Medicago truncatula: one gene and its partners. The main gene of each other region encodes a partner of the protein of the gene in region 2 in a complex. Links are inferred from orthologs where the notes say so. Each region holds a gene or a part of one and is shown on either strand. Other genes may lie near its edges.

Region 1 (8,035 bases), on a different chromosome or scaffold from region 2:
AACACAACCATATAGAGAAATGATTAACAATAATATTTTGGTTGATGGTTGTAAAAGAAAAATCAAATTGAACGTTTTTGGCAAAAAGGGTTCCTGTAATGCTTATTGCTTGTTTTGCGTTTGTTTTCCAGAAGAAGGTGGGGGTGAATGTTTGTTGTGTGTTTTCCAGAAGAAAGGTGGGGTGAAAGAGTGATTGAGTATTATTTTATATAAAGGGTAAATTTGAAACTTTGTGTTAAATGTTAGGGTCAAGGTATAAATATAGGGTTGCGGGGTATAACTTTCCATGAAAAAATGACAAGGCTTTCCCTCTACACAAAAAAGAAGATTTTTTTTTAAACCCCATTAATATCTTTTTGCTAAAAAATGTCTTTTGTGAGTTTTTTTCTAAGGTGGTAAAAATTATAAATAATGTTCCTCGGAAGTTATCTCCCAAATTTTTTTGGGGATCTTAGAGACAGACAATGCCATAAAAGAAATGCTCAACAAAAAGGCCTTTGCAAAAGTAACTACATAACATACATACAATTAAGAGATTTTTTATTCTTTTACTCGTTTCTTGTGCTCCATCTAAATTTTTCATTTCAGTCCCGTTCATATTGTATAATTCGTAGTGTATTTGTGTTATTTCAAATTATATAATCTGAGACCTATAGAAAAATCAAAAATAAATAACCAAACGTCTATGTTGACCATCCTACAAAAATCCCACAAATGATCGAAGTTTTTGATCAACAGCGACCATGACATCATATTCGTCATGAAAGGAAAAGTAAGAAAGAAAAGAGAAAAAGAAAAGAAGAGGGAAATTGCAATGAAAATAAAGAAGAATGCAAGATTATTTATACCCATAACACCTTTCTATATTGTAACTATAGTCAAACAAAATGTGTAAAATGAACCAAACTTGTCAAAAAAGAAGCACAAATCGCTCAAACTTTGCTTGTAAGATCACAATTCAAAATCTAGAATATTTTGGATTATATAATCTAAAATCATGTCTAGTATTGGTTCAGAATATATAATCTGAAACGTGCATAAATTGTGTTAAAAATTGTGATTTGGGGGTTTGATTTGTTTCAGATTATATAATTCAAACCGTGTTTAGAACATAATAAATAGGTAAATCTGCCATCAAATTCTACAACAACAGCATAAATTAAACATAACAATTTCAACTACATAATTTCAACAAGATAATTCAATAACAAAATACAAAAAAGTAAAACATAATACTTAAATATAAACAACATCATGGAACAACCAACTAAAATATTCATATGGTATATCCATGCATTCCTTGATTTCTCTGTAGGTCATCGATTGAATATCAAGAAAAAGATCTAATAAATGAAACTTGAAACTTGATCAGTCTCTTTGAACCATACTGACCAAACATAAAGAACATGGTACTCACCTCGTCATCGTTCTGAAGATTCATCTAAGTGAAATGAACACACTCATCTGAATCGATTGACAGACGACGATACTCAACACTATCTACCGTTCTTGTATCTTTGTGGTTGAGACTGTTAATTTGGTCTAGCTGACCTTTAAAGTCACACAGTGTGATATCAATGTGGACCATAAGTAGATTCAGTTTCTCCGCTATAGTAAACTCTACAGCTAGTTTAGTGTTCATATTTATTTGATAAGTGTTCATTGTTGTGTCGTGTGGTTTTCAAATGAACCAAACACGCCAATTTATAGAAGTCCATATGTGTCATAGGTCATGAAAACTTTTGGTGCAAAGTGGACCACAAAAAATCATGTATTTGACTAATTTAGATTATACAATTTGAAATGTGTCAAACCATCCAAATCACAAGATTTAACATAATCTGGACAATTTTGGATTATATAATATGAACTAATATTGGACATATATTTGGATCATATAATCTGAAACATTCTAGAATTTGGAAAGTGGTTTCGTCAGTGACATTTGGAAGGTCTGACGGTTTTTGGGTCAATGTGCGGTGTTATACACGTTTTATTGATTGTATTACACGTTTGAATTGACTGTAAAAACAATATTTGTTGAACTTTGCCCTCAAATACCATTCCTTTCTTTTGTACTCTTCATTTTAAAACTCATATTCCTTATTCTTCTCTTTTTTTTCTCTGTTTTCTTTTGGGATGGTTACGAAGTCATAATTTCACAATTGACCTTTTACAAACAAGATCAACAAAGACATTTATGCCTTATTGTAGGGTTAGTATGAATGGTCAAAAGGTGGTTGATCCTCTCCATATTGTATTCCTCATCGATTTGGATATGAGATTGTACATATAAGATTCCACCTTCACTGCCTCGTAATCTTCTGTTCCCAAAATTTTCGGAGGGCATGCGAGAGGGATGACACACCTTTTTCACTCATTCTCCATCTATTTTATTGTATTAGAAATTTAGCTTTAAAGAATGCGTCTTGTATAGGCAGAACACCTCCAAATTACTAACAACCCCAAAAATAAACTAGCCATGCATAAAAAGCAGAAACAGATTGAGCTTAAAGACAATAGAGCCAATCCTCAATCCTAGAGCTGTCAAAATGGGGCGGGCCGTATGGGCCGGCCCGAAATCCCGAATAAAACGCAGGGCCTGGGCCGAAAAATTGGAGCCCGAATTTTTCTAGGGCTTTTTAGCCCGGTCCGTAAAAGCCCGTAACCCGTTCGGGCCTCGGGCAGCCCGCCAAAAATTCAAGTGGGTTACTTTTTATTATTTTTTTGTTGGTCTGTGTATGTTACATGGTGACTGCAAGCATTTTCAATTCGATTGTTTGTAGTCTGTGGAACAAGCATTTTCACAAGACAAAAGGTGATCAAAGCATAATGTAGGAATTTCATTTCAGATATATTGGTAAAAGTAGTTTCTACATTTATTTGTTTTCTGAAATGCATCATGCTGCTCTTATATTAAGGAAATGGTGTATTTTCATGACAAAACGAAAATTACAACATTACTTTTGTTGCTTAGACGGACAAGCACTTTGCTTAGAATGGGTTTTCATTCTAGGCAGTGAACAAAGGTCCATTTTACTTCAAAATGAGAGTCTGATCGCCCTTGCTTTTTAAAAAAAAAAACTAAAAAAATGTTATTATGTTCAGAATGAAATAAAAGAAAGAAAAAAAAAACGGGCTTGGGCTGGCCCGTTAGCCCGTAAAGGGCCGGGCTCGGGTTCTACTTTTCCAGTCCATATTCAAACTGGACTTTTTAGCCCGACCCTTAAAAGCCCTTGACCCGGTCGGGCCGGGCTTAAACGGGCCGGGGCGCCCGTTTTGACAGCTCTACTTAATCCCTTACAAAACAAAAAAAATAGCAGGCCTGATGCAAAACAAACACAAAGCCAGATGTTGTCAGCACCCTATCAGCCCAGAAACACACCACAACAGCAACAAAACAACAACAAAAACCGCTACAAAACAAAACAGTAGCAACCTCCATTACTCCTCCCCTTCCTACCGACGATGGATACAATCTATAGGGTTCCAACACCAAGCGTAAAAATAACCATCAAATCTATCAAAAACACCCTTGTATTTGAAAACCACATCAACAACGAACTCATAGAAGAAAACCCTCAAAAAACATAACCACGACCAACCACCACAAGCATCACCACAAAAACCACCACGAGCACCACGAAAAACCACCACAAGCACCTCCACAAAAGACTCAGTATCATCACCACCGCGGAAACCACCACGAAGCACCATAAACCAACACAGCCAAAAATCCATCTAAACCATAACATATCATATGCCTCACAACTTTTATGACCGACCTATCACCACCTACGTTGCGAGCAAACAGAACCTTCACCCACCGTCAAGAGAGAAAACGGATCTGGTATCAACCACCACATACCAAAAGACAAACTCAAGCAATCAGTGTTGAACGGCCAGAGAAACAGAGCCGTAACACAATTCACAACTCCACCAGAGGTCCACCGTCAAAATTGCAGTTTAGGACCATCGACAGATCTGGAGGTAGGTGGTGCGGAGGGCTCAAGCCGCTCGTCGCACCACCATAAACGGACTCTACATCTCAAGAATATATATTGAATTTTTGGGCGGCGGCAGTAAGTTTTGTGTAGAGAGAGGGCAGAGAAAAAAGAAGCTAGGGTTTTGAAAAAAAGTTTAAAAATATTTTTTAAATCATGTTGTGTATTTTAAAGTATGCCACTGTAAATTATAACATTTTAATAAATTGAGTTGAATATGATAAAAAATGGATAAATACAATTCATATTTTATAATTCAAAAACGTCAAATACCATTCTTTTAGGATATGCAAGGGAAAATGTTTTGAAATTTTAAAGATTTGGTTTGAATATTCAAGCCAAAATTTTTGTTTGAAACCAAAAAGTTTTGAAAACAAATATCCAATTTAAATATTCAAACAAACCTTATAAAAAGCAAAACTTTAGGAAAAATTTAAAAACTTGCTCTTTCTTTTGGGATCTTTGGTCAATTTAGAAGATACGTGTTTTTTGAAAAAAAAAATCTTTATATTTGTTAAACTAAAAGGATATTTTTGGTAAATAATTTGTTTTGAGTGGATTAATGGGGTATGAAGTTAAATTTTCATAATTCAGTTTTTAACATTTCTTTTGAGGCCCATTTATACACATGATAGTTATATACCAGATGTGTTTTATTTTTTTCTTTCTGCCAAACACGCGTATAGGAGATAACTTCCAAAATAAACATACATCTAGTATTTTTTTTTTACAAAAAAAATCCTAGTAGATTACAATCAAATGTGTATTCCTTCATAAAAAAAAAAAACAATCGGATGTATATTTCTTTTAAAAAGAACCGAATGTGTGTATTTAGGGATTCTAAGAGATATAGGGGGAAAGAGAAATGTTTTTCAGCATTTGTCAGCATAATAAGCTAGTCCAGTCAAAGATTTTCCAAAGCCCAAGTATAGGCCCAAATAAAACCACAATTAGGGTTTGTGACGTCATGCATGAAGAAATTCAGATGTATACAGGCTAAAACCATCATTTTGTCGGAATCGGAAAATCTACGCTTTGGGATTTCGATTTCAATTTCAATGGTGGCGTTTAAAAAAAGCTGGATTCGATTGAGATTTTGATTTTGATCCATCCATCACATTTTTTTCATTTTCAATCATTTCCCTCCAGTTTTTCCACGCACGCTTTACCCTATCCAAATATCTTTATCATATTTTTCAATTTTCAAACATTAAAATCATTAAATTTAATTTTTATTTTTATTTTTCCCCGCTCCAGCATAAAAAGGCTCCAACTAATTTTAATCATCATTTCAAAAATCTTCTTTTTCGTTTTCTCTCTGCTGCTACTGCACTTTATCTTTTCTAGGGTTTCTGCGTTCTCATTTCTCACTCAGGTACTAGATCTATTCCCCTCTTTTCTTTCTCTTCTCTGCTTGTTATCGATAAGATTCAGATTCCTTTTTAATATGAGATTCGATTCCTTTTCTCCTGTTCAAATTTCTGAATTTTCAAGTCTGTAACGGAGTCCGTAACGGCGATTTCCTGTGATTTTTGTTCTCGGCGTGAAAAGATCCAAAAACGGTCACGGTGGCTGCTGATACCGTTTTGTAACGGCCGCAATCCCGGCACCGGTCCTTTTTTTGAAACCTTGGTAGTTATTGATTTGTACAAATTAATTTTTTTAGGGTTTATTTAAAAGTTGTAGTCATTTTCATTTTTGAAAACTTCGTATTCGGTCCCAAGGAATGATTAATCCGTGGGGTTACTGAAATATGTAGTCATTATAACTCTAGTGCTGTTAAAATACATCACTATGTATGCATATTGTGGTTCTTTGGTTTTGATTTTATACTGTAGTTATTATTGAAGAAGAAAGCAAATTAATGAATTTTAGATAGTAGTTTTATGTCTTCTGTTGTTTTATAGGCACTAGTGAAGATTATGATTCAGAAAACTTTTAAATTTGTTGCTATACTTGTTTCTAGGTTCTGTTGATATGGATTCTACCGTACCGTCGTACCAACACCGAACACTTTCAATCAAGTTGTGGCCTCCAAGTCAGAGTACTAGGTCGATGTTGGTTGGACGGATGGTCAGGAACTTGACGACTCCGTCCATTTTCTCTAGAAAGTATGGACTTCTTAACAAAGATGAGGCTGAGAAGGATGCAAAGGAAATTGAGGATGCAGCTTTTGTGACTGCGACCCAACACTTTGAAAAGGAGCCCGATGGTGATGGGAGTTCTGCTGTGCAAATTTATGCCAAGGAATCGAGTAAGCTTATGTTGGAGGTTTTGAAAAGAGGACCAAGAGGGAAGGAGGAGAATGGGGAGTTGATATCTGAAAAGGGTGATGCTGCTGTTGAAACTGTTTTTGACATTTCTGGGGGTCGCAGAGCTTTCATTGATGGGGAGGAAGCTTCAGAGCTTCTAAAACCATTGATGGGACCAAACTCTTTTACAAATATATGTTTCAGTAATAGAAGTTTTGGTTTGGATGCTGCTCATGTCGTTGAACCCATGCTAATATCAATTAAAGATCAACTGAAAGAGGTAGATCTGTCAGATTTTATTGCTGGGAGACCAGAAGCAGAAGCTATTGAAGTGATGAATATATTTTCTTCTGCACTAGAAGGAGCTGTGTTGAGACATCTTAACCTGTCAAATAATGCCATGGGCGAAAAGGGGGTTAGAGCATTCCGGGCACTCCTTAAATCACAAAATGACTTGGAGGAGCTTTATTTGATGAATGATGGTATATCAGAGGAAGCTGCAAAAGCAGTTGCTGAATTGATCCCTTCCACTGAGAAGCTTAAGGTTCTTCATTTCCATAATAACATGACTGGAGATGAAGGAGCATTTGCAATAGCTGATGTTATGAAACGTTCCCCAGCTTTGGAAGATTTTCGGTGTTCATCTACCAGAGTAGGCGCTGAAGGTGGTGTTGCTCTTGCTGAAGCGCTTGGGGCTTGCACGCATTTGAAGAAGCTTGATTTGCGTGACAACATGTTTGGTGTGGAAGCTGGAGTTGCTCTAAGTAAAGTTATACCTGTATTTGCTGATCTTACAGAGATATACCTCAGTTATTTGAACTTAGAGGACGATGGTGCAGAAGCCCTTGCTAATGCTTTGAAGGAATCTGCACCGTCACTGGAAATTTTGGATATGGCTGGGAATGACATTACTGCTAAAACTGCTGTTTCTGTAGCTGAATGTATATCATCAAAGCAGTTCCTCACCAAGTTAAATTTATCCGAGAATGAATTGAAAGATGAAGGTGCAGGTTTAATCAGTAAGGCGCTGGAAGGTCTTGGCCAATTAAGTGAAGTTGATCTGAGTACAAATTTGATCACATGGTCAGGAGCCAAACTGTTGGCAGAAGCTGTTGTCCAGAAACCTGGATTTAAGTTGCTGAATGTTAATGCTAACTTCATTTCTGATGAAGGGATTGACGAGTTAAAGGACATATTTAAAAACTCACCTGACATTCTGGGTCCTTTGGATGAGAATGATCCTGAAGGAGAGGACATTGATGAAGAGGCTGAAGAAAATTCCGATAATGATGAATTGGAGTCAAAACTGAAAGGCCTTGAGATTTAAGAAGATTCATAGGACTCTGTCATGCGATTGCTACTTCAGATTAATTTGTAGGCCAATTATGTTTGCAATAGACATACTTTTTTTATACTGAGCAGCTAGCATTTTAATCTTTGTATTTTAGATTTTCGATTCCATAACTTGGCTTATTGAAGTTTACCAGATATATGCTCTTAATATATCTGGCAAGACAAGAAATAGGCAAATGGTATGAATGGTAGAATTTTTTGGGCTTTATTGTGCCTTTTGCTGGCAATTTATTATCTTTGATTGCTGATTCGTGCTTAAATATTTGCAATTGATTCAATAAGCAGGTTATTACACTTGATTGCTGGTCGTGTTTGCAATTGATTCCATATGCAGATTATTACTGAAGGACTGCATCATACTTTTGATGTTGTGCATTGTAGGCTTAGTCTATAAACAACATAAACCAATTGCAAGCAAAGTAAATG
Region 2 (7,706 bases):
TGCTTTCTAGTGTAGGTTTGGACTCCAAGACTTTTGCCACCAATTGAGTTAGGGCCTTCTTAGCTTTCTTGGTCCTCGCCCTTGTCGTTGGTCCTCCTAGCCCTTGAATTGAAGCACTTGTGTCATGGACAATCATGCCCTCATCACTTTTTCATTGAAAAACCCAATTTGCCACGTAAGCGTTTCATCACACATCAAGCTTCATATTTCATCTTTCGTACCTACAACATTATATTAATGTAAGGGTCAATTTCCTTATCCAAATCGGTTTATACTCAAAGCACAATAAACAATGCCTTAAAATAGATAGTATAAAAATTTCTCGATCAAAAAGAAATAAAAATACACTCAAGCCATATTTTAAGTAAAGAATTCAAGTGTTTGTGGGAGACTTTTTTACCCCGACGCCATTTATCTTGGTGGCGTGGAATAGCCAGACTTTTTCCCCCCAAAAAAGACCCAAGTGTTTGTGGGAGACTTTGCAGGAGGGTTGAATGTCTTCCTTTAGTTTCTGCCTGTGTTTCGCTTTGAGGCCTTCATCTTATATGGAACACCACTTTTGTTGAAACTGAATTTTGGGCAGTTGTCAACCCATCCTCCTTTGCACTTTGTTTGTGGTTGAAATCCCTCGACGGATTTTGCATCTTCTTTATCGAAAACTGCACTACACCTAGGACAAAGCATGACATTAGTGTTGGAAATCTTGCATCTATTGAGGAAATAAATAAGATCCTCTTCAGCCCTGGGATACGCCACTTTCATCTTTTCAGCAAATTAGTCTTCATTAACCATTGCATTTTCAAATTGGTGGTCCTCACTGACCATCTCAGCATCAGTTTGCAACTTCGCCTCGGGGGCTGGATCTTTAGGAGGAAGTTCAGTACCAAATTCGTCTGAGATGTCCACCATATTTATGGCAACTACTTCAGCGTACATGGAGTTAGCTTTCTTCAAGGGATCTGCATCAACTTGCATAGGTTGTTTAGCTTTGTCTCCAAATTTCTACCTTCCCTCGTCAAGAGCTTTCTGCACGGAGTCCCTAAAACGAGTACAACGAGACAAATTATGGCCTAAAAGGCCATGAAACTTGCAAAATCCTCTCTTTTTTCTTTGTTCAAAAGGAGGTAATTTCATATTTTTTAGCACTAAGATTATGCCATCAGTGACCAAGAGATCGAAAATCTCATCGCATTTAGAAACATCAAAAATATATGTTTTAGGAGGGTATTTGTCGTTTTTAGGTTCTTTAGGGTTCTTTCTGTTCGATGGCCTTAACAATTTACATGCATAAGGCGGCCCATCTTTTAACTTTGCCAAATTAATTTCATTATCTTCAATAGTATCTGATCCCCAATCGAATTCTGGGTCACTGTCTCCTGTGTCTACATAGGCAACTTTCTCCCTTTTAGGGAACCTGTTTGTCCGGGCTTTCTCATGCCTTAAGCCTTTCGACTTTTCGAACTCTATCTGCCAATTGTGCTATATCCCTATGGTCTTGAGTATCCAGTTTCGTTCAAACATAATAATGAAGGCCACCAGCAGCCATTTCGACCAATTCATGTTCTGGCACTGAAGTGAAACATCTAGCCTTAAGAAGACGGAATCTATTTAGATAATCGTCAATCGACTCGTGCGTTTTACGTCGAACGCTGGCTAGTTCCTTCCAACTAATCTTAGATTGACCCATGTAGAATTGCTCATGGAAAGCTTTTTCCAATTGATTCCAACTAAAAATGGAATGAGGAGGCAATGTTGTAAACCAAGTGAAAGCATTTTTTTTCAAAGAACTTGGAAAATATTTCATTTTCAAATTCTCATTATTTGCCATCTCACCTTGGTTATATCACGGTCTCTATAGTACTAGCTTGGATCGATTGTGTACCACCTGGTGGTAATGGTGGGTTTGGGTGATGTCCCTGACGAACTAGCGGCATTCGACGCCGCTACGTTCGATATGATAAGAGGACGCATCATTTCAGGAAGTTTCTTTTTATTTCTCAATCGCATACACAACGCAAACCAACAATATTAATCGTTTAAATTTCAAAATAAAATTTCTAAACAAAAGCAATAAATGTTCCATTGGACGTGCCAATTTGTTTACACTGAAATTTGGTAAACAACCGCTGGTTTAAAAATATTTACTTGCAAGATCAACCAGTAAATCTTAAGGACATATTGTGTTTGTTATTTTCCAGAAATTTATTATTGTTCTTGAAGAACACGATAAAAAGAAGTAAAAAACAATCGAATTCAACCCAGTTGAATCCAATTGGAATTATGTAAAATGAAAGTAAAATGAATTGCTCAAAAGAAACAAGTAAATTGTAAAGACATTTAAGAAAATAAACTTAAATTGCATTCATTGAATGTAAATTGGTACACATGTTCATACATTGCAACTTGTGACTCGTTTCTCTCTTCCATGCGGATAAGAGTGTAAGTTTTGTGTATGATTAGTTTGTGACCCTTTTTCTTTTACGAGAAACTACTATTTATACTAATATAAATAACTACCTATTTTTGAATTTAAAACTACAACTGCTACAAACTAACAATACTTATCCATTCGATTTGAATTTCAAATATTTGTGCCTATGGAAATATCCGTTACTTGACCTAATCCGAAACAAAACTGCCCTTCAATAACTACGTCTGTCGAACGATACATGCGCTTCGATCACTTCTAGCAAAGTCAGCTTCGATAAAAACATTCCTTATTTCTTCGATAATCAAGTCAACTTTGGTTTGACTGCATTTAAGATAGCCTTTAAAAATATAAGCTAACAACTATATATAAAGAAAACTACTTCTTCTAGCTCTGATGGGTTGGATTTTTCTTTCCAAAAATGCCCTGAATACAAATAATTCATGTAACAAATAGATAAGAATACATTTAAATATTGAAAAAAATGTGACAAACACATAAATATATATGTCTGTTTTTTTTCTTTATTATTTAAAAAGTGTAACAAAGTAGATGAGTATATTTACTTTTTCATTATCTCAATTATACCCTTAAACAACTTTTTCTATAATAAAGATTTTTGTCGGTGTCATTAAAAAAAGTTAGATTATATTTTTTTTTGTTATATTGTTGGTGTCATTGAAATAAATAATCATGATTAGTTTGGTTTGTTATAATTTGAAAGCAACAAACATTTATATTTATTTTTTTGAAGAAAAAACATTTATATTTTTAGTTTTAATCCAAATCAAAATTTCATATAAAGAACACTTTTAATAATTTTCAAATGTTAGTGCAATAAAAAGAGCGGAAGAACGGGCACATGCGTTTCCATCTTTTCGCTAGTTAGATAATAACATAACCTTTCACTTTAGCATTGTTTGTTATCTCTTCATAGGCTTAATTGCATGTTTAGTCCCTTATGTTTATTTTAGGTTTCACGTTGGTTCCTTATGTTTTAAAAGATTCAAATTGGTTCAAAACGTTATTCATATTGGAATAATTCATTCCATCACTTGACCGTTTAAAGATTCAGATTGACAATATGGGTGATGAAATTTAACATATTTAGAAAATGTGTTTCAATTTTTTTGTTTTATTAAACTCAATATCATGTCGCAGAAGGGACTAACTTTTTTCAATGTGACTAAGGTTTTTGACCAACTTGAAACATTTAAAATGTAAGGGATCAGCTTACAACTTTTAAAACATAAAGAACCAACTTAAAACCTAAAATAAACATAAGGGATCAAACATACAGTTAAGCCTTCACTTTAACATTGTTTTAACGCTATCTGATGTTGGACATTATCTACCAAGACCTATTTTTACCCACATTCAATTTTATGTTACCGTGTCTTGGATGAAAACTAAACATGGATTGAATATGTTGATAACCGTTGATAGCGGTGAACCAATGACTTCAATTGTTATTATAGTGTATCATAAATTATTTCAGAAAGTATAGGCCCTGTGTAATTTAGTTGTACCTTTCAAGTTTTCTTCTATGGGTACTGAATTGAGTTTTAAAAAAACGTAATTGTTATCTCAAAAGAATTTGTGCAAGAATTAATCCAAAATTTTTATAACTTTCATAGTTTTAGTTTTTGTTCCTATGTCTTGACGACGTTGTATAGTTCGTGTCGATGATAATTTCACCCAACACATATACAACACAATGGTTAAAGATGAATGATATTTGTACAACTAATTTTAGATAACTTTTATGATAATTATTTTTTTCCTTATTTATTGGACAAAAACAATAAAAATAAATAAATAAAAAAGAATAAAAGCACTAAGTAATTATGAAAGAGAGAATTGTCTAAAAAATTATTCAAGAATGATTGTACGTCATCTTAAACAAAAAATTTGTCTTAAATTATATGTCGTTCTACAATATCAATAAAATATTAATATTACTTTTTTTATTATATATTTAACTATTTATTACTCTTTCATCTTTCAATTTATTTATATTTATCATATTATTTATTAAAAAACAATTTTATAAAACAACTCATTATATCTTTTTTCCATATAATATTAATTACACTTTTTAATATGCGATCAAATTGTATTAGAATTTGGGATGAAATGACAATTGAAAGTTTTAATGAGAAAGTTGTTAGAATCCAACAAGAGGGACCCACAACAACCAAGACACTTTGAGCTTTACAGCCACCTAAACCGTACGTTGGAGGGATAGATCTATCTATGTTGTCCTGTCTCTCAATTTTGTTCTTCTTACTCTATTATTATTTTGCGTCGTGCCTTTGCCAGAACTCAAACTTAAACTCAATTATTCAAATAATCTTTATCAAAACAGTTCAAGATCAACGTGCCCCTCACCCCAAGTCTTCATTTTTTCTCTTTGATTTTTTCTGTTCCTACTCTCAGGCTCTAGTTTGACCATTTTGACTTCTTCCTCTTCAAACTTATTTATCCACAATTATTGGAGACAGAGTGTCACCACAAAAAAGAAGATACCCTTTTGTTTATTTATCTTGGAGAATGTGAAAAAGTGATTAATTTGTTTATGAGTGGTAGTTAAAAGACTTGGCTAGAACTATAAGTTCTTCCAGATAGAGTCCAGAAGCATTTATAGAAAGGTAAGGCTTTATTTCTCAGTTTTCAATTGATAATTTGATGTTAACTTTGGAACTTTCTTTATTTGTATGTCCTTCCTATGAGGAAATGAGAAAGTCATAATTGTTGTTTGTTATAGCTGTGGCAGTTTCATGTTTGGTTTGGAGTTTTGTTGTAAGCTGAATCTTCATTAAAATTGTTGTAATATTTTTGGGGAGTTATAATTGATGGTTTTTTGTGGTTATCTTTCATGGATTTCTAAGGATTGGAACATATGCTTATGATTGTTGTGTGCTGGATTTGTTACAAAACTACCATCTCATGTGGTTTCTGTTGTTAAGATTCGAGTAGATACTTCATTTGTCATGAAGCATGGATACTGACACGCCGACACAGTTAATAATTTGAAAAAAATCACATAATTCAGTGTAATTACAAGTATCGGTATCGTGTCGGTGTCGGACACGACACATGTCCGACACCGAGACACGCCTAATCCGAAGAGTGTCCGTGCTTCATAAATTGTCACTATCCAAGATCCATTGGGTCATGAGTGTGTTAAGACTCAAGAGTCACACATTGTTTGTGTTAGAACAATAACTGGTAACAAAAGATTAAAGAAACGCAAATCACAAACAATGGAATGTAATCGCTGTTTACGCAGTTCGGCTAAGTTACAAACCATATATATCGTATTACAATCCAAATTACAACCATACCCCTGAATCGTACCATAGGGGCAATCACCATCCCCCCAAAACAAATAGTTGGGCCTAACGTACAATTGCAAAGCTATAGCTGCATTTCTTCAACTACATACTCATTTTTTCTTTTTTAATGTTAGGGGTTAGTAGTGTTAGGTTTCTGTTAGTGATGGTTAGTAAGAGAGTTAGTTAACACATTAGATTGGTTAGTTTGACTAAGAAAATTAGAAGAAATTAGATGTTTCCTATAAATAAAAAATTGAGCGAAAAATAAGGTCTTAAGGTCGGGACTAGGGACTAGGGAGGTGGGTGTACAGACCCTCAAGGATTTACTACGTGTGCAAGTTATTTTCAATCTTCAGGTAAAGAACCCCATTTCGGTTGGCCTGATGGTATTGACTTGGAATCTAGGAGTGTGTTGCTACTCAAGGTCTCAGGTTTGATTCTTCCTAATACCAATTTGGATAGACTAACTTACCTTCTTAGAAAGAAAAAAAATTACCAACTGCTAATTTATGTTGTTTGTAATAGAATAGTAAAATTGCATTGCAATAGAGTAGTAACAGCCTATAAACGAATTCGATAAGTAACAAATTCTGTTTTTCATTTAAATTTCATCTCCTAGAAGTTAGAATAAAGATAGAGTTAGTATACTTAAGAAACTCTGATACTCTATTTTCTTACTTTAATAATGATGTCCATTGATGCTTGCATCCACTTAATTTCTATCTTATTTTCAGAACTAGCCTCTAATTTCTGAACCAAGAAAGAGATCCAAGAAATGGATGCAGCTTTAGAAAAAATCTACTCACTCAAGGGTTTCTCAACGAAAGAAAACGACATCCAAGATCTTGATATATCCTTGCAAGCCTTAACAGAAATAGATCATCGGCTAGCCTATTCTTCCGAGAAGCTGGTGAACTTACATATTTTGTATATTTATCTATTGGCTCGAGAAAACGATCTTGAAGAAATAGATTCGAAGAATACCTGCGACTTAGAAAACTCATTTGAGAAGGCAATGATGTTTGATCTATTGTCTGGCATTTTAGATTTTGAGGCAACAGAGCTTGACAATTTCATGGACACTCTACATGAAGAAATTGTTGATGCTCGTCATAAAATATTGTCGTGCAGACATTTGACTGAGGTTTTCTTTATAATGGATGAAAAATTGCAAGATTCCGAAGAGTCTGAGAAGCAATTACAACAACAGTTATTGGAATTAAAGATTCAGTCATCGCAGCTTCAGAAAAGTCTTGTGGCTTTCCAACACGAGAATTGTAAGTTGAAATATTACACAGATTTTTCTTTTCGAAAAATTTACATTGAGGTATTTTTCATTTATTTATCGTTTTTAGTCATTCATATACACAGGGGAAATGGGGAAGGCTTTGAATTTATTAGAAAATAGTCATGTGTCAAATGTGAAAGTGAAAACGAAAGATCAGAGAATGGTTGAACAACAGAGATATATTCTTCGAATGCTTGAGAAGTCGCTCGCAAGGGAGCTAGATCTTGAAAAGAAGTTAGCAGAGTCAAGAAATAACGAAGAACTAAAGATGAAACTCCGCTACACTGAACAAGTGGCATTTTATATGGAAGAAACAGCAGAAGTTGTTTGGGGAAGATTTCTTGAAGCAGACAATGCTACCGAGGTGTTAATGGGGATTTCGAAAAGTATAATGGGACGTCTCCAAGTAACTGAGTTCAACCTCAACGGTTATATGCAGCGAGAAAATGAGCTAAAATTGAATATTCAAATTTTAATCGAACAACTTAAGGCTAAAGATGCTGCTTTAGAGAAGAACGGGAGATGTAATGTTAATGTTGACGATATTCAGGAAAATACTGAGGTGTTGGATTTGAGGGAAAAGATGAAAATTCTAGAAGAAGAACAAAAGAATTTTGAGGTTCAGATAAATTCTTTGAGCGAAGAGAATGAA
Region 3 (7,637 bases), on a different chromosome or scaffold from region 2:
AAAAGAAAAATGTGCCAAAACCATTGTTTTTTGGTCATGGCCGGGGTTTGAATCCCGAATCTTTCATATTTTATGCATTGTCCCAACCAACTGAGCTAAGCTCACAAGGATGATTGTTTAATTACCGTTTCTAACACTGGAATATTTTCTTATTTAAATTTTGAACAATGTTAAAACATCCTCTCAAAAAGATGTTAGTAAAACACGACCTTTGTATTTGCTTTATATATTAAAAGTAAATCGACAACACAATGCGGTGAACACTACAATGTCAGATAGTTTTGCTTGGAGGGTATTGGTACCCAACAAAACTCAAAAATACCAACAAAAAAAAAATCAATTCATTTTTATTGTCTGTATTTTTCAATACATTTTTATTTTTATTGTAAATACAACAATAAGAACTAAGTCTTATTCCCCTGTGTAAGGTCGGCTACATAAATTAAATTATGCCATAATGTTATGACTTTATTGAAAATAATAGAATAAAATTAAACATATTCTAATCAGTTTTGGAGTATCTATTAGAATAGCTCCAATACTCGTCACAGCGATCATGTAAATTGACCAACATAACACTGAATCTGATGATAACCAGGTGTTAATACACTAATGACGACAAGATTACGATATCTAGTCCAGAGATACCCACAATGGTTAGACCACCAAAATTAAAGTATCACCAAGATACGCATAATGATTCAATATTTTGGTGAAATGATGCATCTTGACGGTTACATATGATTCTGTGAATGAATAAACTGATACTAATGTCATAAGAGTTACTTCTGCAGTAGAACCAGTAAGCTACTAACAGTTACAATTCAATCAACTACAAGGTTCTTCATTTTGGATTCCAGTGCATCCTCCACACCACCCTCTTCGTCAGATTCTTCATCACCGTCTTTTCCATCAGGGTCATTTTCATCTAATGGACCAAGCTTGTCCGGAGATTTTTCAAATATAACCATTAACTCTTTAATACCTTCATCAGAAATGAAGTTTCCGTCAATGTCCAGACGTTCAAAATCAACCTTCTGCAACACAGTGAGAGCCAATTGTTGAGCCCCGTCTCTGGTTATTCTGTTGCAACTTAGATCGATTTCCTTTAATTGTGAAAGGCCTTCTAAAGCCTTACTTATCTGGATGGCACCTTCATCTTTGAGTTCATTCTCAGAGAGGTTCAACTTGGCAAGAAACTGCTTGGCTGCAAGGCAGTTTGCTATAGCAGGAGCAGCATCAACTGTAATATTGTTTCCACTCATCTCGAGAACTTCAAGGCGAGGAGCTGATGCCTTAAGAGCATTAGCTATAGCAATTGCTCCTTCGTCTTCCAAGTTCAGGAAGCTCAGGTATATCTCTCTTAACTCTGCATTCTTGGCAAGAGCTTTACTCAGGGAAACCCCACCCTCTACACCTAACATGTTGTCTCGCAAATCAAGCTTCCTCAAATGGGTGCAATCCCCCAAAGCATCAGATAAGGCAACTCCACCTTCATCGCCTATCCTTGTGGAGGAACAACGAAAATCCTCCAAGCAAGAAGAACGCTTCACAACCTCAGCTATAGCACGTGCTCCTTCATCTCCAGTCATATTATTATGAAAATGGAGAACTTTGAGCTTCTCTGTGGAAGGAATCAACTCAGAAACTGCTTGAGCAGCTTCTTCTGAAATTCCATCATTCATAAGATAAAGCTCCTCCAAACAGCTTTGTGATTTCAAGAGAGTTCCAAATGCTCTAACACCTTTCTCACCTAAAGCATTGTCAGAAAGGTTTAAATACTTCAAGACACTGCCTTCTAGAGTAGCCGAGAATATCCTCATGACATCAAGTGCTTCTGCTTCTGGTCTTCCAGCAATAAAATCTGACAGGTCTACTTCTTTCAACTGGTCCTTGAGGGATATGAAAATCGGCTTAGCGACTTCTGCTGCTCCTAATCCAAAACTTCTGTTGCTGAAGCATATTTTAGTGAAAGAATTACCCGGCTCCTTCAGTGGACTCAAAAGTTCTTGAGCCTCCTCTGCTTCAATGAAAGCCCTTTGGCCTTTAGATATATCAAAAACAGATTCACGAGGGACAGCAGCAGCATCAGAAATCACCGCTTCTTTGACACTGTTCTTACTAGGACCCATTTTAAGAAGTTCTAGGAGGAGCTTACTGCATTCTTTGGCATAAAGCTGGACTGCAGAACCTCCATCACCATCTGGCTCTTTCTCGTAATGTAGGTTTGCCGTGGCAAAAGCCTTGTCCTCAATTCTTTTAGCATTTTCTTCAGCCTGTTTCGGGTGCAAGGTTTCATACTTTTGAGTGAAAATGGATTTCGTAGTAAGATTGTTGGTCATCTTCTCCACAAGCGTCTGTCTAGTGTTCTGACTAGGAGGCCATAATTTGATTGAGAACGGCCTGTTCTGCGAATTCAGCTCCATATCAATCAAACCTGCAAAAACGATTCATGTAAAGTTATAAGTCATCATGATTATAAGTCACACACTAAAAATAAGTCACACGCTGAAAAAGTATCTGAAAAAATACGACACATTTTCGAAGCCCTTGCCCACTTTAGATATCAAACTGAAAATGTATCTAAATTCTGAAAGGTTATCAGTCATCATGACTATAAGTAACACACCAAGAATAAGTCACACTGAAAATGTATCTAAAAAAACAAGACACATTTTCGTCACTTGTTAAGTCATCATGATTATAAGTCACATATGTAAAATGCAGCTATGGGAGGTTAGTGTTAAGGACATAATACACAGATAACAAAAATTAATTTACGAATTGGATATAAAAAACTGCTCTGAAAAGTAGCTCAAGAAATAGGAGCAACGACTATAAAAACCCATCAAATAAGTAATTGAAATAATAATTAACAGATATCATACTGTATAGGCTGAATTGATTGCAATAATAAAGTAGGGCCTGTTTTTATTTCTCAATCATAATCCGTTGTTGTTCATGTGATAATCATAGCTAAATGAAACTAAGCAAAACAACAAATAAAATATGATGGTGGAAATTGGCATAGTCACACTTCAAGATGGTGGAAAGATATTATGACCATTGATGATGGTGATGGGATGAATTGGTTTAATACGGAATTGGCTAGGAAAGTTCATAATGGTTTAGATACTTATTTTTGGAAGACTAAGTGGAGGGGTGAGGTGGCTTTTTGTAACAAATATCCAAGGCTCTTTGCTATTTCAAACCTTAAAGATGCTAAGGTAGGGGAGATAGGAGTGTTGTCCGGCACGGGATTAGATTGGCTTTTCACTTGGAGGCGAAGGTTGTTTGTTTGGGAGGAAGACCTTCTTGCAAATTTATTACTCGATCTTCAAGGTTTTGTGACTTCAAATGGGACGGATGAGTGGTGGTGGAAGCTTGAAGAGGATGGTAGGTTTTCCGTGAGTTCTTTGTATAAGAAGCTAGAGGTGGTGGCGGGTATTGAGAATGAGTGGGGGTTAGAGGAGAAACATGTCTTTAGCCAAGTTTGGAAGAGCCCGGCTCCTTCTAAGGTGGTGGCGCTCTCTTGGAGATCTTTGCTTAATCGTATACCGACCCGTTTGAATCTTCTTTATCATCATGCTCTACCTCCAAATTTAAGTTTGCATTGTGTTTTGTGTGATTTGGAGGAGGAATCCACCAACCATTTGTTCTTGCATTGCAATGTAGTTAGCTCGGTTTGGGAGAAAGTCAAAAGGTGGTTTGAGATTGAATTCATTACACCGCCCAATTTGTTCGTTCATTGGCTTTGTTGGAATGCGGGGAGGACGACTAGTAAATTGTTTCAAATGGGTAGGCGTCTTGTTTGGCATACCACCTTGTGGGTTATTTGGAGGGCTAGGAATAACCGTATTTTTAACAATGTGGTAAGTTTAGCGGAGGAATTCTATTGTTAGTTGGATTACTATATTCGTAGTTTAAACTCTGACCATCACAAAAAAAAAAAAAAACATTAATCACATGAGAAATTTAATATTATGATTAACATACTCCCTCCAGAATAAATATAAACAAAAACAAAAGGTAGTTAGAAAATTGATATATGTGGATTAAAATTTTGCCACACACATTAATTTTTCAACCATCATTTTTGTTTATATTAATTCATTTTAAAAAAAGAGTTGATTTATTGTCAAAATAGGTTGGAGTGTCTCTAATATTTATGTCTTTACTTAATTCATTTTCTTTTCTTTTATGTTGTTGATAAATTTACTGAATTGATCGTCTATAAATCATGTATTTTGAATTTCTAGAAATCGTAATGCGATTGTGTGGTCACAATGGAATCATTTAAGTATGTGCTTGTTTGACATTTCACCACTGCTACCGTGTGTTTGAGAGCCTTGGAAATTGATAATAGAGAAGCTACAAATTGTATGATCTCTCGAAACGCACTTTTACAACAAATCCATCCTCAATACAAACATAGGCTTAAAATTGCACCAGAAAGTAGAATGGCTGATTGAAACGATAATTTAAACATACTTTAAACTTTCACCATTCTGGAGAAAGAGTGCACAAGGAGGGAGTTCTAATCAGAATGCTAAAGTGATTGGCCACAAAAATGGATTTGACACTGCATTTTTAAAAAAACTATAAGAAGGCATTTAGCACATGAGTATCAAATGCTTATATTATCTCATTTTCTTTTCTGTTGTTGATAATTTTACTAAGAGCACTGCTAAATACAGAAAAAAATGACCACGAAGGTGTCCCGAATAAATTGTCATGTTAAAAAATTTACAAATTAAATGGTCGTGATGCATTCACGAAACATTTTCTTGGGAGAAACAACATTAGCCTTTTTCTGAATTTATGTCTTTCACAACTCCATACTTACATTGTATATCATCGGTAGACATGACAACAAAACTCGCCCCCGCCAAACCCGATCGTCCCCGTCCCAAATTTAACGGGGAAAACCGATTTAACTAGATGCGGGTGTGAGAGAAATTTAGTTTTCAGTACGTAGGCGGCGCCGGGGGCGGGGGATGCTTACACCCGCCCCACACCCGTTTTTTAAAATTTACTTTATTAAGTTTTATAATCTTATTTCCATAAGCACCAACCAATTTTAATATATCATTACTCTTTAGAAACATATTTACTATAATTATTTTGCTCTTTTAAATTTTTTTTATTAAATATTTAATTATTAATATAGTTATTATTTTTTGTTGTTATGAAAAAATATGCATTTTTTTAAATATTTTATAAAAAATAGAGTTTTTGCGGGTGGAGCGGGGCAGAGAGACCTGTCTCCATTGGGGGCGGGGTTGGGTGTTCAATTTTTACCCGTTATGGTTTGGGGATGGGGGCGGGTGCATGGAAGTGGGGACAGGGACGAGGATGCGTAAACCAGCCCCCGATCCGCCCCATTGTCATGTCTAATCATCGGATAGAACTTGTGTGCTATTGAAATACCAATGTTATATAACATTGGCCAATGATGGCATGCCACATAACCGATGTAAGAAATGACTAAAGAGGAAAGAGAAAAGATATACATGTGAAGTGCTACGTGGCACACCCTCATTGGCCAATGTTATATAACATTGATATCCCAGTGATACACAAGTGTTATCCGTATATCACCGTGACAAAGGCCAAATTTTAGGCTATCATCCAAGCATTGCCATACTTCTTAGCGCTTACATCATTGCCACCCTTCTTAATTTAATTGAGACTTTCAGATAAGAGAAAGTCTTGCACGAACATAAGCTTTTGGACACACCACACATAAAAATATATTTTATTTTATTTTTTTGATAAGAAAAATACATTTTATTTAATTATTTAAAAAATAAATATGATCTAATTATTTTCTCTTTCTCTATCTTTTCTCAATTATGTATGTGTGCCTAAATTTAGTGACCAAACACTTGTGCCTAAACAAGTATTTTCCTTCAGATAAATAAGTGGTGTGGTTCACTTTCCGGTGGCATTTAGTATGGGAAAAGGGAGTTGTTTCCCACCATAGGAAAGTTGATTATGTCCATTGGATTAAATGAGTAACAAATCTTTATCCTACTCTCTCATACACTATATCGTTGTTTTACACTATCTTCCACCATCTCTCTTTCTTGTTTTTTGAATTCAGAATCATAAAATAACTTCTCAAATCCTTCTCCTAAGCTCATTAACACAAGCTTTAAAATTCTCGCCCAAAAGAATTAAGAGTTGCAACTTAATTTTAAAAATCAAAACTGCAACTACAGCGTTGTCTCAGGCGGTGGAGGAAAGACCATTGGTCCTATCCTAAATATATACCTGCTTCTTAGTTTGATTGCCTTTTTTAAGCTTTGACTCGACAAAATCTAAGCATCACACTTTTAGCATGGAGTTACCACTGATTATGGTAGATTAAAAGAATGAATTTCATCATTTTTATTAAACAAAAGCTTAAAAAGAGCTAGAGTGTCTTTGGATAAATAGCCTAATTAAGCACTTATAATATCTGAGTTTTCCAGCAGCAACATGGTGGTGTGTGGTGGTTGCTGTATCTGATATAGTGGTGGTTGTGGTATGAGTGTGTGGGACATGAAAGAGAGATGGTGGAAGATAGTGTAAAACAATAATCTAGTGTTGAGAGAGTAGGATAAGGATTTGTTTCTCATTTAATCTAATGGACATAATCAACTTTCCCATTGTGGGAAACAACTCCCCTTTTCCAGGCTAAACCCCACCTCACTTTCCTATTCGTATACTATTCAAACAACTTTCATCCCCACGAGGCCATGCTTCAGTTCTCATAACCCATGAGAGATTGTAAATAAGAGAAGGTAAAATGAAATAAAAGGATTGTACCAAAAAAATGAAAATAGATACTAAACCTGTGACGAATGAAAAAATTGATGTGATAAAAAAATGATGAAAAGTTGGCTGCTTTCACTGCAGACCAACCTCTTGTCTGGTGGGACGTTTCATTTTATTTTTGTCACAATTCTAACATTATTTATAGGAATCCCTTTTAAGAATTCTCAATGATTTACCAAATTTCTCAAACTCTAGTACAGTCCAAACTCCAAACCACAAGGCTGTGGAATCACATGCCCACAAAAAAACATATTCTAATCTCAATTACAGAAGAATACAAATTTGTGACTAAATTAACTTTTTTTTTATTACACTATAATAAAAATAGTAAGTACACCAATATCATGATTGTCGTGATTGCAGTATAAAAGACAAATATGAAATTCATTGAATTGAATATCCCATATAAACAAAACAGGATAATTAAAATTGATCATGAATTCAGCAACCCCATCTCCAATTTATTACAAAAATCAACAATAAAATTACCTAATGACCCTCTTCAAATCAAACAAGAAAAGAAGCAATACGTTTGACCATATCAATAGAACTCTGAGTTTCAGGATGATAAATCTGAAAACAATGTTCTTCACCTTCAACATGAACAAGTTCCACATCACCTTTCCAACCACTTTTCTTAACAGCATCATAGTACCAAATCCCTCTGTCTCTTAAATCATCATTCCCAGCAACAAAAATCAATATCTTAGGACAACCAATAATATCCAAACTTGGAGCATCAATAGCCAAAGGATTGATCAAAGGGTTATCAATCCCACCAGGTGCATCAGGATACACAAAATTCCATACTTTCA

What was found.
Region 1: WPP domain-interacting tail-anchored protein 2 (region 2) and RAN GTPase-activating protein 1 share a complex: the UniProt entries of both Arabidopsis thaliana proteins name them as parts of the ran complex. The link is inferred for Medicago truncatula from reciprocal best matches to the Arabidopsis thaliana genes WIT2 and RANGAP1.
Region 3: WPP domain-interacting tail-anchored protein 2 (region 2) and RAN GTPase-activating protein 2 share a complex: the UniProt entries of both Arabidopsis thaliana proteins name them as parts of the ran complex. The link is inferred for Medicago truncatula from reciprocal best matches to the Arabidopsis thaliana genes WIT2 and RANGAP2.

Annotation. Positions count from the first base shown.
Region 1 is NC_053042.1:35,965,694-35,973,728, forward strand, and holds RAN GTPase-activating protein 1, read left to right. Parts: upstream 1-5,030; 5' UTR 5,031-5,379; intron 5,380-5,970; 5' UTR 5,971-5,981; coding exon 5,982-7,583; 3' UTR 7,584-7,903; downstream 7,904-8,035. UniProt on the Arabidopsis thaliana protein: GTPase activator for the nuclear Ras-related regulatory protein Ran, converting it to the putatively inactive GDP-bound state. Plays a role in spatial signaling during cell division.
Region 2 is NC_053047.1:21,516,548-21,524,253, forward strand, and holds the start of WPP domain-interacting tail-anchored protein 2, read left to right. Parts: upstream 1-4,662; 5' UTR 4,663-5,079; intron 5,080-5,117; exon of another isoform or gene 5,118-6,197; intron 6,198-6,500; 5' UTR 6,501-6,541; coding exon 6,542-7,043; intron 7,044-7,137; coding exon 7,138-7,706. UniProt on the Arabidopsis thaliana protein: Together with WIT1, required for the nuclear envelope docking of RANGAP proteins in root tips. Plays a role in nuclear shape determination.
Region 3 is NC_053042.1:50,999,682-51,007,318, reverse strand, and holds RAN GTPase-activating protein 2, read right to left. Parts: upstream 2,610-7,637; coding exon 2,555-2,609; intron 2,438-2,554; coding exon 825-2,437; 3' UTR 558-824; downstream 1-557. Other genes in the region: 2-hydroxyisoflavanone dehydratase, read right to left, coding at 7,330-7,637. UniProt on the Arabidopsis thaliana protein: GTPase activator for the nuclear Ras-related regulatory protein Ran, converting it to the putatively inactive GDP-bound state.